2 linked regions of the Notamacropus eugenii genome follow. The protein of the gene in region 1 interacts with the protein of each later gene in a biochemical or structural test. Links are inferred from orthologs where the notes say so. Each region holds a gene or a part of one and is shown on either strand. Other genes may lie near its edges.

Region 1 (8,053 bases):
AACACTTTTCCCATGAAGGAAAAACTCTTTTTCCTCGAATCCCTTCTTCATTGGATGGTCAGGATATTCTTTCTTATGCCTATATCACTCCTTTACCAGAAACAAAACAAAACAAAAAACTCATGACTTGTATAAAAGGTCAAACTCTACCTGGAATCTGTCTACAACTGGAGGCCATCCTAATTTCCCAGCAATAACTCCTACTGCTCCCTTCCATGAATGTTAGACTCCAGCCACACCTGATTACTCTGTCCCTCCAACATCGACAGCATTCTGATGCCTTAGCTCAGCCCTCTCTCCCTTGCCTGGAATGCCCTCTCTCCCTGTCTTTGCCACTCCATTGCTACCTCTTCTTTAAAGACCCACTCAAACCTCACCTCTTCCAGGAAGCTCTTTCTTGACTGCCCTCTGGTAATGAAATGACCCTCCTCCACAAACCTCTTATAGCTTTGTTTGATTAACTCTCACATGCACTTGACATAGTATCTCTGAGGTGTTTAGACTTTACAAAGATACGATTGCTCATTGAGATCTGGAAACATGTGCTCTAAACTTTGTATCTGTCCTATCACAATGCTCTGCAGAACAGTTACTTTGTAAATGTTAACAATTATGGCGTATTGATGCATGGAATTTTTTTATACTATTTAGAATGGACTTTCTTTACAAAGTTATTTTTCAAAGGCAGACTCTGGGGAAATAGGTGTTTTTCAGGCATAACTACTCCCTTGCTTGCTCCAGTTTTGACACTTAGTAGCTCCTCCTATATAAAATGGGTATATACAATAGATGCTTACACAAATTATCCCAAAGGATTATTGTGGAGAAAGTACATTGTAAACCTTAAAGTGTGATTTAAATGTGAGTTATGAATTGTTTTGACATACCCACAATCACAGTTCAGCCTTTCATTATTCAACCTGGGCTACTGTAAATCTTCCTAACTAGTCTCCTTGCCTTAGGATTCTTTCCCATTCCAAACAATCCTTTATACAGCTGTGGTTCTGACGATGTTACTCATCTCCTCAAAAACCTTCCATGCATCCCTATTACCTGTACAACCGAAAACAAACGAGCCTAATATTTAAAATCCCCTATTCTGGAAAGCTAATCTGTTTTCCAGTCCTGTTTGATATTACCACTTTTACACATTAGTTATTCCAGTCACTTTGAACAATCAGCTCCACAATTTCCCCTTATTCTCTTCTGTTCCCATGCATTCACCACCTCACTCCTGGAACACATTGCCTCAACTGTGGTAGTTGAAACACTCTCAGGGTTTCAGTGGATGGAATAATGGGCCTGAAGTCAACAAGATCCAAGTTCAAACTAGCCTCAGACACATACTAGCTCTGTGTCTCTGAGTAAGTTATTAAGCTTCTGTTTGCCCCAGTTTCCTAAACTCTAAAATAGGGATAACAACATCTACCTGACAGGGTTGTTGTGAGGATCAAATGAGATTAATATACAAATCAAATTTGTAAAGCACCTATGTGCCAGGTGCTATATAAATCCTTATTGTCTTCCCCTTCCCTGAGATCTACCCACTCTCATCTGAAAGGGATCTCTGCCCTAGGTCATTCTTTTGCTTTTATTAAATTCTCCATTGTATCATATTTCTTTGACTTGTCTTTTATGCCTTATATTTGATTTTGACTTTGCATTGTGTCTTACATATCTGTTGTTGTTTAGTCATTTTCAGTTGTGTCCATCTTTGTGATGCCATTTGATTTGTTTGTTTTTGGCAAAGATACTGGAGTAGTTTGCCATTTCCTTCTCCAGCGCATTTTACAGATGAGGAAACTGAGGCAAACAGGGTTAAATGACTTACCCTGGGTTACACAGCTGGTAAGTGTCTGAGGCCCGATTTGAACTCAGAAAGATGAGTCTTCCTTACTCCATCCACTGTGCCATCTAGCTTAAGTCTTGCACTTAGTAGGTACTTGATTAATGTCCACCTTATTGAACTGCTTTACTCAAAAGAAATATTTCCCATATTAAGTTCTGGAATGTTAGCTAACAGTGAAGTAGAAATAAGTGGCTTATAAGTAATGTTTTGTATTTTTTTTTAACATTTCTCTGTTTTGTATTTCCATTTCTAGTCTTCAGAATGAAGAAGTTGTTCATAGGTCCATCACTATGTAGAAAAAAATCATTTATAGACTATTTTCCCCTTTCCATTCCATTTGGGATGTTATTCCCAGATGGAGAGGTTGGTGTTGGTTAGGCAGTTTGGTATTTTTGCATAATACAGGCAAAAAGACTTGATGTATCTGATGATTTGAGGAGGAGAGATTATTCCAAGAGCTTATGTCTTGTGAAGAAGGAAGTATCAGGTATATTATTCAAATGAGCATCCCACTTTATAATTTTTTAATGAGTATGATCCTCTATCTTTGGGGGTAGGTGTTTCTGTAGGAAATAATGATCATTTGAAAAAGTCCAAACGATGAATTTCAGCTCTTAATGCTTGTTGGGGGGGGGGGGGGAAGCATCCCCATAAAGCAGCATGGGAACTTAGACTGTCTGCTCCTCTGCCTTATTTAAATATCAGAGAAAACACAGTTTATTAGATTTGTCTGTTACAGCAGCTTCAAAGTTCTATCTGTTTCTAAGCAAAAGAAAAAAATAAAACAAACAATGAAACTGGCCTGCTATCGGGATTCTATTCACAGACACCTGGGAGAGAAGAACCCTGGGAGGTTTTTAGGAAAATCTGAATTCCTGACTTTCCAGGAACTAGACTATAAACGGTGCACAGGACTGGGAAGAATGAAGATGGGGCAATCTCCTTCCTACTCTCCTCCACAGTTTCCCTCTCTCTAAATACAATTATTTATGGGCACTTAATGGGAGAGCAAGCCTTGTGTGAAAAGAACACAAGTAAGTGTAGCTTCTAAAAATACACAGAGCAGCTTTTAAGCCCTTATTGTTGCAAACTGACATTTTGCAGGGCATGGCATAAACCTAACAAGTCAGATTCTTGCAAAAAAAAAAAAAGCCCAGAAAAGTAGACTTTTTTTTTCCTTCCTAAATCTCCTTAGCCTAAAAGTAAATAGTAATGACACTCCGTAGTCACACTCAATGCAAATTTCCCAAAGGGGGAAAAAACATGAAAATCAAAACAAAAAGCCAGCTCGTTTCCTCAAGTGGTTACGGGGCTTATTTGAGCGTTAAAAGCTGGCTTTTTCTCAGGCCCATCCTTTCCATCCGGAGCTTGCTCCCTAGCACCCTTCCTCGCCTGATTCCTGTCCTTGAAATATTGATCACTCTTTCCCTCTTGGTTTCCTTGCAAAACGGGACGCAGGCTCCCCTGTCCTTCTCACTTGGTTGAAGTGTACAGCAGTTGACAGCTAGGCATGTGGTGTATAAATATTGAAATAAATGAGCCGAAGGGGTGGGGGTGGGGGGACGGCCGGACGGACGAGCTGGACCCTCCCTCCACCACGTGCTCTCGGCAGGGTGCTGCTCTCCAGGATTGAGCTGCGAGTGGGGGTACAAGGCGAAGGGGGCAGAGGGCACAGGAAGAAGGGCCCAGGCAGTGGAGACTAACCCTAAGGGAAGCAAGAGGAGAAAGGGGAAGAAACGAGGAGCCCCCAGCCCCACCAAAGCCGGGAGATAAGCTCCATCTCCAGAGGCTGGGATGGGAGAGGAGTGTCTGCCTGTGTCTCTCACCTGATTTCCTTTTTCTCAAGCACACACACACACACACACACACACACACACACAGAGGCACGCGCACACACACGCACACATACACACAGAGTCAGCCCCCCCAAAAAAACAAGAGGAAGTCACAGCAGGGAACTAGGGCTGGGGGTCGGGGCGCTGGGAGGAGGATCAGACAGACACCGAGACGCTCCCTCACTTACCCCTCCACGCCTAGGGTGCAGGTTTCGCCTCAAACCTGCGGGCAGATCGCCCTCTGCCCCCCACGCCCTCTCTTTACCCTCTCCCTGCTCTCTCCTCATCTCCGGCTCCCCCCTCCCTGCTCGCCTGCCCCCTCCTCCTTTGACTCCCCTCCCCTCCCCTCCCCTCCGGCTCAGCCCGGGCTCGCAGCCTCCAGCAAACCTAGCCACGGAGGAGCGGAGCCGGGCGGTGGCGGCCGAGGCTCGGCCGGGCGGGCTGGAGGGCTCCGCACCGTAGACCCCGGGCGGGCGGCCGCAGAGTCTCCGCCAGGGGGAGAAGGAGGGAAGGGAGAGGAGGAGAGAGCGAAGGAGGGAGGGACCGAGACCTCGGCCCCGGGCGATCCAGACCCCGGCGCCCCAGACGCGCACCGAGCCGGCGGAGGTGGGGGCCGAGGCGGGGAGCAGTGGCGGCCAAGGCGCGGGCGGAGGAGGCAGAGGCAGCGGCGGCGGCGGCGGCCGCGCTGCCCGGCCCGCTCCCGCCTCCTCACCCCAGCCCGGGGGGCGGCCGGCATCCAAGGAGCCCTGGGACTGAATGCCCGGCGGCAGCCCCCAGGGCCGGCTCGCGGCGGGCTCTCCAGCTGGGGCTGCCCGCCGCTCCTCCGCGGACCCGGCCGGCTTGGAGCGCGGCCGGCGGCCGCAACTGCGGAGCGAAGCCGAGCCGAGAAGAGGCGAGCGGAGCGGAGCCGAGCGGAGCGGAGCCGAGCCCCGGTCCCCGCCTGCGCCCCCCGCCCCCGCCCCCGCCCCCTCCTCCTCTCCTGTCCCCCCCTCCGCTCCTTCCCCTCCCACTCAGGCCCTGCCTCCTCCCCTGCCCCCCCCGCACACATACACACACATACACACACACATACACACACACGCATACACACATTACCCTTGCTCTTCCCTCCCTCCCCCCCTCCTTTCTCCCTTGCTCGCTCGCTCGCTCGCTTCTTGTCTTTCTCTCCCCTTTGAACGCCCACTTCTGATGGGGGAAGAAGACAACTTGAAGTCAAGTTGCAATTAACTTCCGCGGCAGCCGCAGCCACGGGGGCAGCAGCAGCAGCGGCGGCAGCAGCAGCAGGAGCGGCAGCAGCAGCGGGAGCCGCCACCGCCTCCGCCGAGACACCCGGGAAGCCTCCGGGGCTGCTGCCCCGCACTCGTCCGCCCGCCCGCCGCCCGCCAGCCCTCCCGCAGCCGCCGCGGCCGCCGCAGCTCCCATGCCTGAGTGAGTTGGCTCTCGTTTGTTTACTCCTTCCCTGGGCCGTGTGCGGTGTATGTGTGTGAGGAGGTCTTTACAAACTTCTGCTTCGCAGCCCCCCAGGCGGGCGCCCCCCGTGCTCGGGCTGGCCCCTTGGGGCTTCCTCCCTCCCCTGCCCTCGGGCCGGGAGCGTTCTTCACCCCCCGCGCCTCCTGGTTCGGGCCCCGAGCCCCCCACCCCAGCATGGGCCGGAGGGCAGGTGAAGGAGGCCAGGAGGACTGATTGGGGAATGCCATTCATTCCCTCTCGGGGTGTGGGGATGGAGTGTGATAGTCAGTCCTCCCGACCACAGCAATCACACACACACACACACACACACACACACACACACACACACACATACACGCGCGCGCGCCCGAGCACACACACACACACACACACACACACACACACACACACACACACACACACACACACACACACACACACCTGCTTGGTACCCGAGGTAGACATAGGTATTTGAGGGGGGAAGGTCCCCTCGTGGAAGTGGAGAAGAGCCAGAGAGAAAGACTGGAGTGCGGGGTGGGGGGTGTCGGTAGAAATTCGAGGTGCCAGCTAGGCACTGCCCGGGAGCATCCCGGCCCAGCCCAGCCTGGCCCGGCCGGGAGAGCGGCGCCGGTGGATTGGCCTGAGAAGTTTGTGGCAACTTCTCCATCTCCCGAGCCCGAGCCGAAGCCGCCGCCTCCGCCGCCGCAGAGCCGCGAAGTTGCTCGCAAGTTGTTTCTAAGGAGTTGCGGCCGCACGGCAGTGGCCGTGACCGTGGCCGTGGCTGGGCTGGGCTGGGAAGGGATCACGGAAGGTAGGGAAGGAAGGTGTGCGTGAAGATAGAGGAGGGGATCCGAGGGACAGCACGCCTCGCTTCCTGGTCTTTTACCACCCGGTCGGGCCGCGGTCCTGACGGGTTCGGTAGTGTGGGCATCCGTGCCTTCTCCTTGCCCTCGGGACACCAGGACCACCTTAGGCACCGGCTTCCCCTCTAGCATGGCCTGAGACGTAGTGGCGGAGCATCTTGGACCCTCGGCACGACCTGATGTTGGGCAGCTAAATCTGAGGGTTTAGCAGAGGAGAGAGAGTGAGCTGCAGGGACAGTAGCAGGTCGGGGAGATTGGGGAGTGGGGACTGAGGTTTCTGGGCGCAGGAGCAGGGGGCAGGGGGGCGGGGAGAGGGTCAGACTGACCAGAGAAGGGGGAGGGCAAGGAAGAGCCTTCACCACTGAGCCACAGCTGCCTGTGGCCTGGACCCATCTTAACCTGGGCATTGAGAGTTAAACTTACAAGTATGAACCACAGAGTCGCATCACTAAATGCCGGAGGTTGAGACTTTGACCCTTGCGACCTTCCTCGGCTAACTTTCTGCAGCGTTCCAAAGGGGTTTCCAGGGAAATGATCTGTGACTGAGACTCCAAAATGATTATAAGAGAAGGGGGAGCAGAAGGGAGGGTTGGGAAGACCTTGTAAGAGTAGAGAGATGGTCTGCCCCAATTGCCCTGGGTTCCATATATACGTCTTTGGAGGCCAGCAGGGATGGGGAAGAAGAGAGGAGAGAGAGAGGAGTTGGTGAAATATGACCAAAGGTTTAAGTTTTATCCTCGGCAGCACCTGAAACCTAAAGTACTTCTGTTGCAGAGGAAGCTATCCCACTGAAAACTTTACTGAATTATTACGTTGCCCCTTTAAACTGAACTAAGTAAAAGATGGCCGAAGCAAATGTCAGATATATTCTCTCCAATCAAGGGCAATTCTTATTATGCAAAGGATGCGTAATTCTAAATTCTAGGATGTTAAGGTTCAAGTATAAGATCTAATAACAGCTCTTTCTTCTGTTCCATATTACCAGTGATATGATTTAGCTACAGTCCTTTCTTCTGTATATTATTTGAGTAGTACAGTAGTACATTCATATACTGTTTGCTTCAATCTGCTGGCAAGCATTAGCATTCAGGCTTACATTTTTGACAAATGTGCAGACAGGAATAACATGAATAGGCATCTTAAATATTAACAACCTAAGCATCTGTTATGAAACAAATTTAATATATTTACTCTGTTTTTCTCACATTGTTAGGAAAGGTTATAATAAGTGCATAATTTCAACTTTAGTTAGCAGAAGTAGCTGGTTGTATCTTTCACTACCTCTGCAAGGGTTTAACACAATCACTAGACATAAATACTTTAATTAACTTGGTTAGGCACATCATTAAATAAACTTTCAGTAATGTGCCCATCACATACAGACATAGCTGTGGTAAAATATGTATCTTATAGGCAAATGTTTTTTAATGCCTATACATTTTTGTAAATACAGAATGTACATTTATTCCTCATTTCAGTTTGACACTTATTACTTCACATTTTTTCTAATGGAAACAATATTTTAAGCACAGAGTTGTGCAGTCACATGTAATATATAATAAGTAAACAGTAGCTATAAAAAAGAAGAAAGCATTGTTATGTTTGACTACAGCTAGAATCAGGAGAAATAAAATCACTGTTAGGATTTGTGTTCCTTCCCGAATCCTGAATACAAGTGATGGATGAAAAAGAAACCAGGGAATGAAGGGTTTTCCCCTAAAGTAGTGGCTTGAAAAGAAAGAAAGATGGAAGAGAGATAGAAAAGCAAAGACCTTCCAAAAGCCTTTATGTTTTTTTTTTTTCTGGAATCAGTGCATTCCTTATACTTTCCCCATTAACCAAGATATGTAATAATAGTTTCTTGTTTTTTTTTAAAAAAGATTATGGAGACAAAAAGCATTCAAAAATAATGCCTTTTGTTCAGTTGTTTTAATAAATTAACCCCTTCTTTATATTTGTTTTACTGATGATCATTGTAAAATGAAGTCATTAGCTCCTTGGTTTAACCAGTTTTAATCCTGTAGTCTTTCGAGTGGCATATATCTGTCGCACAAAAG
Region 2 (7,074 bases), on another chromosome or scaffold:
TAGTCTCCCAGTTGTTCCTGTAAACAACATTCCATCTGTCTCCCCCATGCCTTTTCTACATACAAGTGGTCCCTCATGTCTGGAATGTACTCCTTATACCTCTTAGAATCCCTAGATTCCTTCTGAACTCAGGTGTCATTTTCTACATGAAGTCTTTCCTGATTCCCTGCAACTAATACTCTATCCCTGTTAAAATTACTTTGTATTTATTTGTCCCTGAACAGATTGTATACTCCATCCCAGAATGTAATCTCCCTGATGAGAGGAACTTTTCCCTCCTTAGCATTCCCAACATCAAGAGAAAGAAAGACAGAAAGACAGAGAGAGAGAGAGAATATATAAAGCACTTACAATGTGCCAGGCCTAGTGCTAATTATTGGGGACACAAAAGCAAGCATGTAAGACAAGCCCCTGCCCTCATATTGTAGGGGAACATAACATAAAAGTGGGAGTTGGAAAGGGGAGGGTGTTAAGGATGATGGTAGGAGTGCATTGGTTTCTATTAAATTTGGGTGGAACTGAATTGAATTATTCAAACGATTTAAAATCCTCCAATGGGTCATCTATATTTTTTTATATTCTGAAAAATTTAGATTATGAGTTTTAGTAGCTCTATTCTGAGCTTGAGTAGTTCTGAATTTCTCAAACACTCTTATCTAAATGAACTCCTAATTTTCACTATGGCACAGAGGTGTTTATAAATTTTTACAGAGACTTTTCATAATTTTACCTCAAGAACAAAAATATCCTAGAGGTATTTTTGCTTTTGTACTCTGTCAAGAGTCCATTCCACTATCAGATCCCTCCACGAAATCGACCTCATAAATACCTCTGACATCAGGTAGAATTTCTGAGGTCTGCAGACCACGGCTGTTACTTGTACTTATTTTGTGTCTTTAAAAAGTGCAGAACTTGCATACACCTCCACACGTCACCCTATAAGTGGGTCACCCTATTGCTGTGGGTGTAGGGGTTATCTAATATTGTTCAGATCGACCTCCTTCCTATTGGCTCTATATCTAAGGGAATGACATCATGGAGAGAGAAGCTCCAAGGGTATACATTGATTCAATTCAATTCCATTGTTGGAGTGCGAAGCCAACTATGAGGTCAGGCCTTCAGAAGAATCGTGCATTAGCTGTGTTTGGAGATTCACTGTGAATGAACAGGGACATAATTCAATATGCCAAGAGTAAGGAGACCTTGCACCTGGCAGTGCAGGTGACATGTCTTTCTGCTATGTTGGGATTTCAGGGATAGCAAGGAAAGACCCAGGCTTACTTTTCCTTATCAATCAATTAACATGTCCAATATTGTTTTAACTTGGAATAAAGCTTTCCATTCCATAATAGAAATAAGGCCTAAAATGCCAGACTGCTGAGAAGATACCATTGTGCTTATACTCTTGTATAGTAATGTGTCAATGACTATCTCTGCAACTATTAATGCTATCTTCTTGTTAAACTAACTTTTATGTAACTTTATGTAACTATGTAACTTATGTAACTTTTATGTAACTTTATCCATATGTTTGTTATATTCCCGCCCTCCCCCAAGTAGAACATAAACTTCTGCTTATAGGAATTATTTTGTATCTCTGCATCTTTGGAGGACCATCTCTTCCACAGCTTCCTGGATCACCACTTCTTGCCCACTCCAGACAGGCCCTTGAATGAAGGAGTTCAAAACCTGGGATCCATGCATAGATTTTAGGGAGGGTTTATGGGGAAAATACACATTTATTTTCACTAACTTTTAAGTGAAAGTTAGCATTTCCTCTAATTACTAATGGGCAGCTAGGTGGTGAAGTGGATAGGACAATGGGCTTGGAATCAAGAAAGCTCATCTTTATGAGTTCATATCTTGCCTCAGACACTAGCTGTGTGACCGTGGGCAAGTCACTTGACTCTGTTTGCCTTAGTTCTTCATCTGTAAAAGCTAAAGAAGGAAATGGTAAACGATTCCAGTACCTTTCCCAAGAGAACTCCAAAATGTGGTCATACGCATTGGATATGACTGAAAAACCAATTGTTAATATAGGCAACAAAACATTATTATAAGACAGGGTGCACATAGGTTTCATAAGATGGCCAAAAGGGTCCATGACACCAAAAATATTAAGAACTCCTGGCCCAGAGGAAATTCTGCCAAGTGATTCCCCCTCTCTCCTATCTAACTAGTGACTATTTTAGGAAAGCCCTAGTTAAGATTCGACTCCATCCTCCCCTTCTAATTCCTAAAGTGTTCTGCTTCCCCAGTAGAATATAAGCTCCTTGAGGGCAGGGAGTAGTTGTTTTTTCTTTGTTTTGTTTTATTTATTCCCAGGATTTAGCACAGGCCTTGGCACATAGTAAGGATCCAATAAAGGCTTTTTCATTCATTTGTTCTTTGTACCCCCATTGTGGAACATAGTGCTTTACATATATTTGATGCCTAATAAGTATTTATTGATTGTTGAATGACATTGGCAAAAAGTTAGCACAGAAAGATTAAGAAAGAGCAGAAGCAGCGTACTGGCAGAAGAGATTTAAGACCAGAGAAAGGGGAAAGGGTAATGTAGGGAAAAACTTTGACTTCACAACAACAAAAAATTCACTTCAGACGTTTTTGTAGAGAAACTTCTCTGGCTTCCTTCTAGCCCTGGCTAAAATCCCAAATTCTACGGGAAGCACTACCTAATCTTCTTTAATCCTAGTGCCTTCCCTCCATTGATTATCTACAATTTGTCCTGTATATGCCTTATTTGTACATAACAGTTTTCCTGTTATCTCCCCAATTAGGCTGTGAGCTCCTTAGGAGCAGGAACTTTTTGTCTTTTTTTGTATTTCCAGCTCTTAGCATGGTGTCTGGTACATATATAAGCCTGATAAATAGAATAGCTTAATAAATCCCATTTCGAGGATTGTGGAGAACAGAAAAGGTGTATAGGTAGAAAAGGATTATCAGACAACACTCCTGTTCCCCTAAAATATCTCTTTGGTATGACTAGACACCTTCCAGAAAAATTGAAATAACAACAGAAAACAGCACAGTGTTGTCAGGTCTTTGGCACTCCATTTGGGGTTTTCTTAGCCAAGATGGTAGAGTGATTTGACCTTTTCTTCTGGAGCTCATTTTACAGATGAGGAAACTGAGGCAAACAGGGTTAAGTGACATAGCTAGAGTTGAAGGCTGGATTTGAACTCCATCCTTCTGACTTCGGGTCTGGTGAGCTAGCCACTGTACCACCCAGCTGGCCCGGAAAGCAGCGTGGCATGATGTGTAATTAAAGGAGAAGTAGGCAGGTGCACAGGCACTAAGTGGAAAACAGCTAATGTAGTCAGAGGCGGTGAGTCTGCAATCTGAAGATCGAATCCCGCTGATACAATGACATGCCCCATCTTTCACCTGCGATCTGACTAGCCCTCCTCACTCGGACATTCGGGATTGTCCAGCCTACAGTCGATTCTACAAGGAGTTTGCCAAGCACCCACTGCCTAGTCGTGCAAAGGCATTAAATGGAAGATAACTGGAGACTCCCACAGAGCTCCTCGGGGCAGCTCTGGACAGAGCAGCGGCCTGGGAGCCCCCCAAAGCGTGGGTTCGAGTCTCGCCTCTGGAGCGTGCTGGCCGTGTGACCCCGGGCGGGACCCCTCCCCTAACAGCGGGAGTGACCCAGAGTGGGGAAGACTCCAACGTGCGCGAAGCCCTCCCCTGCGGACCCCTGAGTGCGGAGGGGTCACTGATGCTCCCTTCTGGACACCATTGTTATTCTAATGGGATTCCTCGGGTGGGGGTGGGGGGACGGGGAGTGGCGCTCAGGACCTACCCTCACCCAGAACTGGCTGATTACCTGGGGGGCGGGGCGGGGCGGAGAGGGGAGGGGGGAGTAACTGTCAAACCAGTCCTCTTGGCGCCATTATTTAAATAGTACGTGCCACACTCCTTGCTGTGCGTCCAGGGGGCAGGGCTCCGAACGCATTGGGAGGGTCCGGGAGGTGGAGGGAAAGAGAAGGGGCAGGAACAAGGGCGGGGCCAAGCGAGGGGAGGGAGCAGGACTAGCCGCGGCCCCCGGCGGGGTTCATTGCGCCTGCGCTGACAGTCGCAAGATGGCGGACAGTGCGGAACTAAAGGTAAAGCGCAGCTCGAATTCACTTCTAATATTCGGCCGCGGAGACGGCGCTGCGTGTGCCGAGGGGGATGGGGCTGAGCCCCGGGGCCCGTCCGTACCCGGCACACCTGAGCCTGGAGTGGGGGAGCGGGGTGGGCTCGGGCCTGGCGGAGGGGGCCGGGCAGCGGCGGGCCGCGGGCCCCGGGCGGCTCGGGGGCGCTGACGGGTCCGGTCCCCGGCGTGTTATTGTTGTGGGCGCCTCGGGCGGGGGTGGCCGGGGAAGGAGGCGGGCAGTCGGAGAGCGGGGGAGCTCGGCCGCGGCGCTGCCGGCCCTCCTCTTCCCTCCCGCTCCCGGGCGGCCGCGGCTCGGGGGCGGCGGGTCCGGCGGGGGTGGGTGCGGGTTTGGGGAAGCTCCCCACCGCTTCCTCTTCCTTCTTGCCAGCCCCGGGCTCCTGTCAGGAGCTCGGCTGCGGCCCCTCTCCCCTCCCCCGGGGAACTTGTCTCCGGCCGCCCCGCCCCTCTCCTCGCCTCCCCCTCGGCCCGGGACGCGGCTCTCCCCGGCCCGCCCGCCGCCGGAGGAGGCGCCTCGCTCGGCCCCCCTCGGATGCGGGGAAGCGCGGCGCGTGGGGGAAAAGGAGATCCTCCAGCAAAGTTTCGCGAGCGTCAGGCCCCGCGCCGCCCGCCCCTTCCCTTCCTCCCTCGGGCCGGGGCGCCCTGCCTGCTGCGGGCGAGCCGCCCGCGAAGGGTGCCTGCCTCCCGGGGGGAGGGGGAGACGGCGACGAGCCCCCCCCCCCCCCTCCTCCTCCCCCCTCCCCGGTCCCACGCGCGGTCGTCAGGGCGAGGTCAGCCTTTGGGGCGTGGGGTCTGCGCGCAGCATGATGGCGAGGCTCTTGAATGGCCGGTGTTTATATCCCCGGTTGCCTTTTGTTTGTTGGGGACATCTCGCTGGCCATGTTGGTTGGAACAAGCTCCTCTCCTCCTCCCCTCGCCAGCCCCCTCGTCAACAGCGCCTCCTCCGCGCTCCCCCTCCCACCTGTGTCAGTCCCTCCAGCTGCGCGCAAGGAAGGCGAGAGCTTGACTTTCCACGTCCCTATCTTCCGATAGAGCTCCCCACTCTTCTCTTCCTTCTGTACCTGCTGGGCATTTCTGCCCGGGAGCGAGTGTGGTGCTGCAGGAGGGGTGGGAGGGGGCAGGTGGGTAGGGGGTGAGTAACCGCTCGGGCTTGGCTTTGGAGGTGTGCGGCTCTGCTTGAATGGTTGTGTTTCAGCAGCTAGCCGTTCTTAAGTTACGGATCTGTCTTCTGAGGCGTCGAACCGGATCTTCCTTTTCATAGGCGGCTTTGCAAACCAAGGAGCCGGCACTGTCCTGGCTCGGGGAGGGGACTCTCCGTCAGAAAGTTAATATTGGAATGTATAACGGTAAAATCTTTGGTGGAACCCATCTTTAGAATAATTGATAGGGTGAATTCCAGTCTGAGGTGAGAGACTTAGGTTTTTCCTATAAAATTAATCTTGAAAAAGTCAAATTCTGCATTTGGGTGTTTTTTCCCCTGAGCAAATCCTTGCCAGAAAATAATGCCCTCCCCCTCCCCAAATTACTCGTCAGTATAAAACTTCCTCGTATATATTGAGACACTAGCTTTGAGTTGTCATTACATCCTTGTTTATCTCTGAACTTACATTGATTTGAAAATAACTGAGTTAGAAAATGCTTTATACTTTAAAACTTGGGGGAATTTGTATAATGGGAACATCGGAAAAGACTAATCAGGAAGTCTTAGGAATTTGAACATTTGGAGAACTTTTAACTGTAAAAAATATACTTGAGAACAAATTCTCAGACATTTTTCTATAGGTTTATATACTTGAAAATACAGTCAGTAGGTTGCTGTGATCTTTGCCTTCTATTCCTCATTTGGAAACCCTTTTGAATGTTGGCTAGTGAGTTCTTTTATACACGGATCACCGAATAAAGCAGGAAAGCTTGTGCTCTCTAGATTGTCACCCTTGATGCTGTCCTAAGAAGCTAGTATGGAAAGCACATGCTGGGGAGGTTTCCTTCTTTGTTCTTTCCCATTTTAAGAAAATGCCTTTGGGGATACAGCAGATCCCTGGTGTGATTCCTGTTAGGTGAAATCTCTATTTACAAAAATTAATCAGTATTATTAGATTGAAGCTAAATACCTGAAAAGGAACTGTCATTTACACACTAAAAGCAAGGTATAAAATCTCTCCGCAGTTCCAGATAGAAATTTCAGATTAATTTTGTGCCAAGGAATTGTTGGTGCCATGATGCCTCCATTGTTTAATTTTAAGGAATTGTTAGGATAAACTCCATGTCATTGTGAAATATACAGGAGCCTTAAAAGTTGTAAATGCTTAAGTGAGGTAAATCACACAGACAAATCATATTAATATTTGATGATAGTTTAATTTGTCGACATTTTGGGGACTATCCAACTGTGGTGTTCCTTTCAGTGAAAGATTTCTGTGAATTGAAATTTAAACTACTTCCGGAAGAAATCTTGATTTCTTTTTAATGCTTGAGTTTGAAGAAAATATTTTCTGGTATTCTATTTTTTGAGAAAGTACAATTAAACTTATGACTTTCTATGATAAGTCAAGGGACTTTATTGGAATTCTGGACAAAACTACTTTATTAACAGAGTTCAAATTCTGAGGAGGTTTTGAGCCCAGTTCCATAGCTCACAAACCCACAGTAGATTTTGCTGTTGACTGTAGTCACTGGTTATTTTTCCACCTCTTTTTAGTGACCCCTTTTAACTTATAATGGACTTAAAAGATCAAATGGTTAAACCAGAGCGACCTACATCACCATCAATATTGGTATAATACAGGCTACAACAGTTCAGGATATTGCCAATAAAAATTAGATTACAGTACCACACATCATAATGAATCTTGTATTCACATTTGTTAATAAAAGGGCCAATCTTTCATTAGAGGTCACCCATAAAAGATAGT

What was found.
Region 2: the proteins of SATB1 (region 1) and PIAS1 form a complex in vitro, tested with the Homo sapiens proteins (2 studies listed by BioGRID, with this or other methods). The link is inferred for Notamacropus eugenii from reciprocal best matches to the Homo sapiens genes SATB1 and PIAS1.

The regions. Positions count from the first base shown.
Region 1 is NC_092874.1:35,635,303-35,643,355, forward strand, and holds the start of SATB1 (DNA-binding protein SATB1), read left to right. Parts: upstream 1-4,994; 5' UTR 4,995-5,112; intron 5,113-8,053. UniProt on the Homo sapiens protein: Crucial silencing factor contributing to the initiation of X inactivation mediated by Xist RNA that occurs during embryogenesis and in lymphoma.
Region 2 is NC_092872.1:131,061,232-131,068,305, forward strand, and holds the start of PIAS1 (E3 SUMO-protein ligase PIAS1), read left to right. Parts: upstream 1-4,005; 5' UTR 4,006-4,088; coding exon 4,089-4,112; intron 4,113-7,074. UniProt on the Homo sapiens protein: Functions as an E3-type small ubiquitin-like modifier (SUMO) ligase, stabilizing the interaction between UBE2I and the substrate, and as a SUMO-tethering factor. Catalyzes sumoylation of various proteins, such as CEBPB, MRE11, MTA1, PTK2 and PML.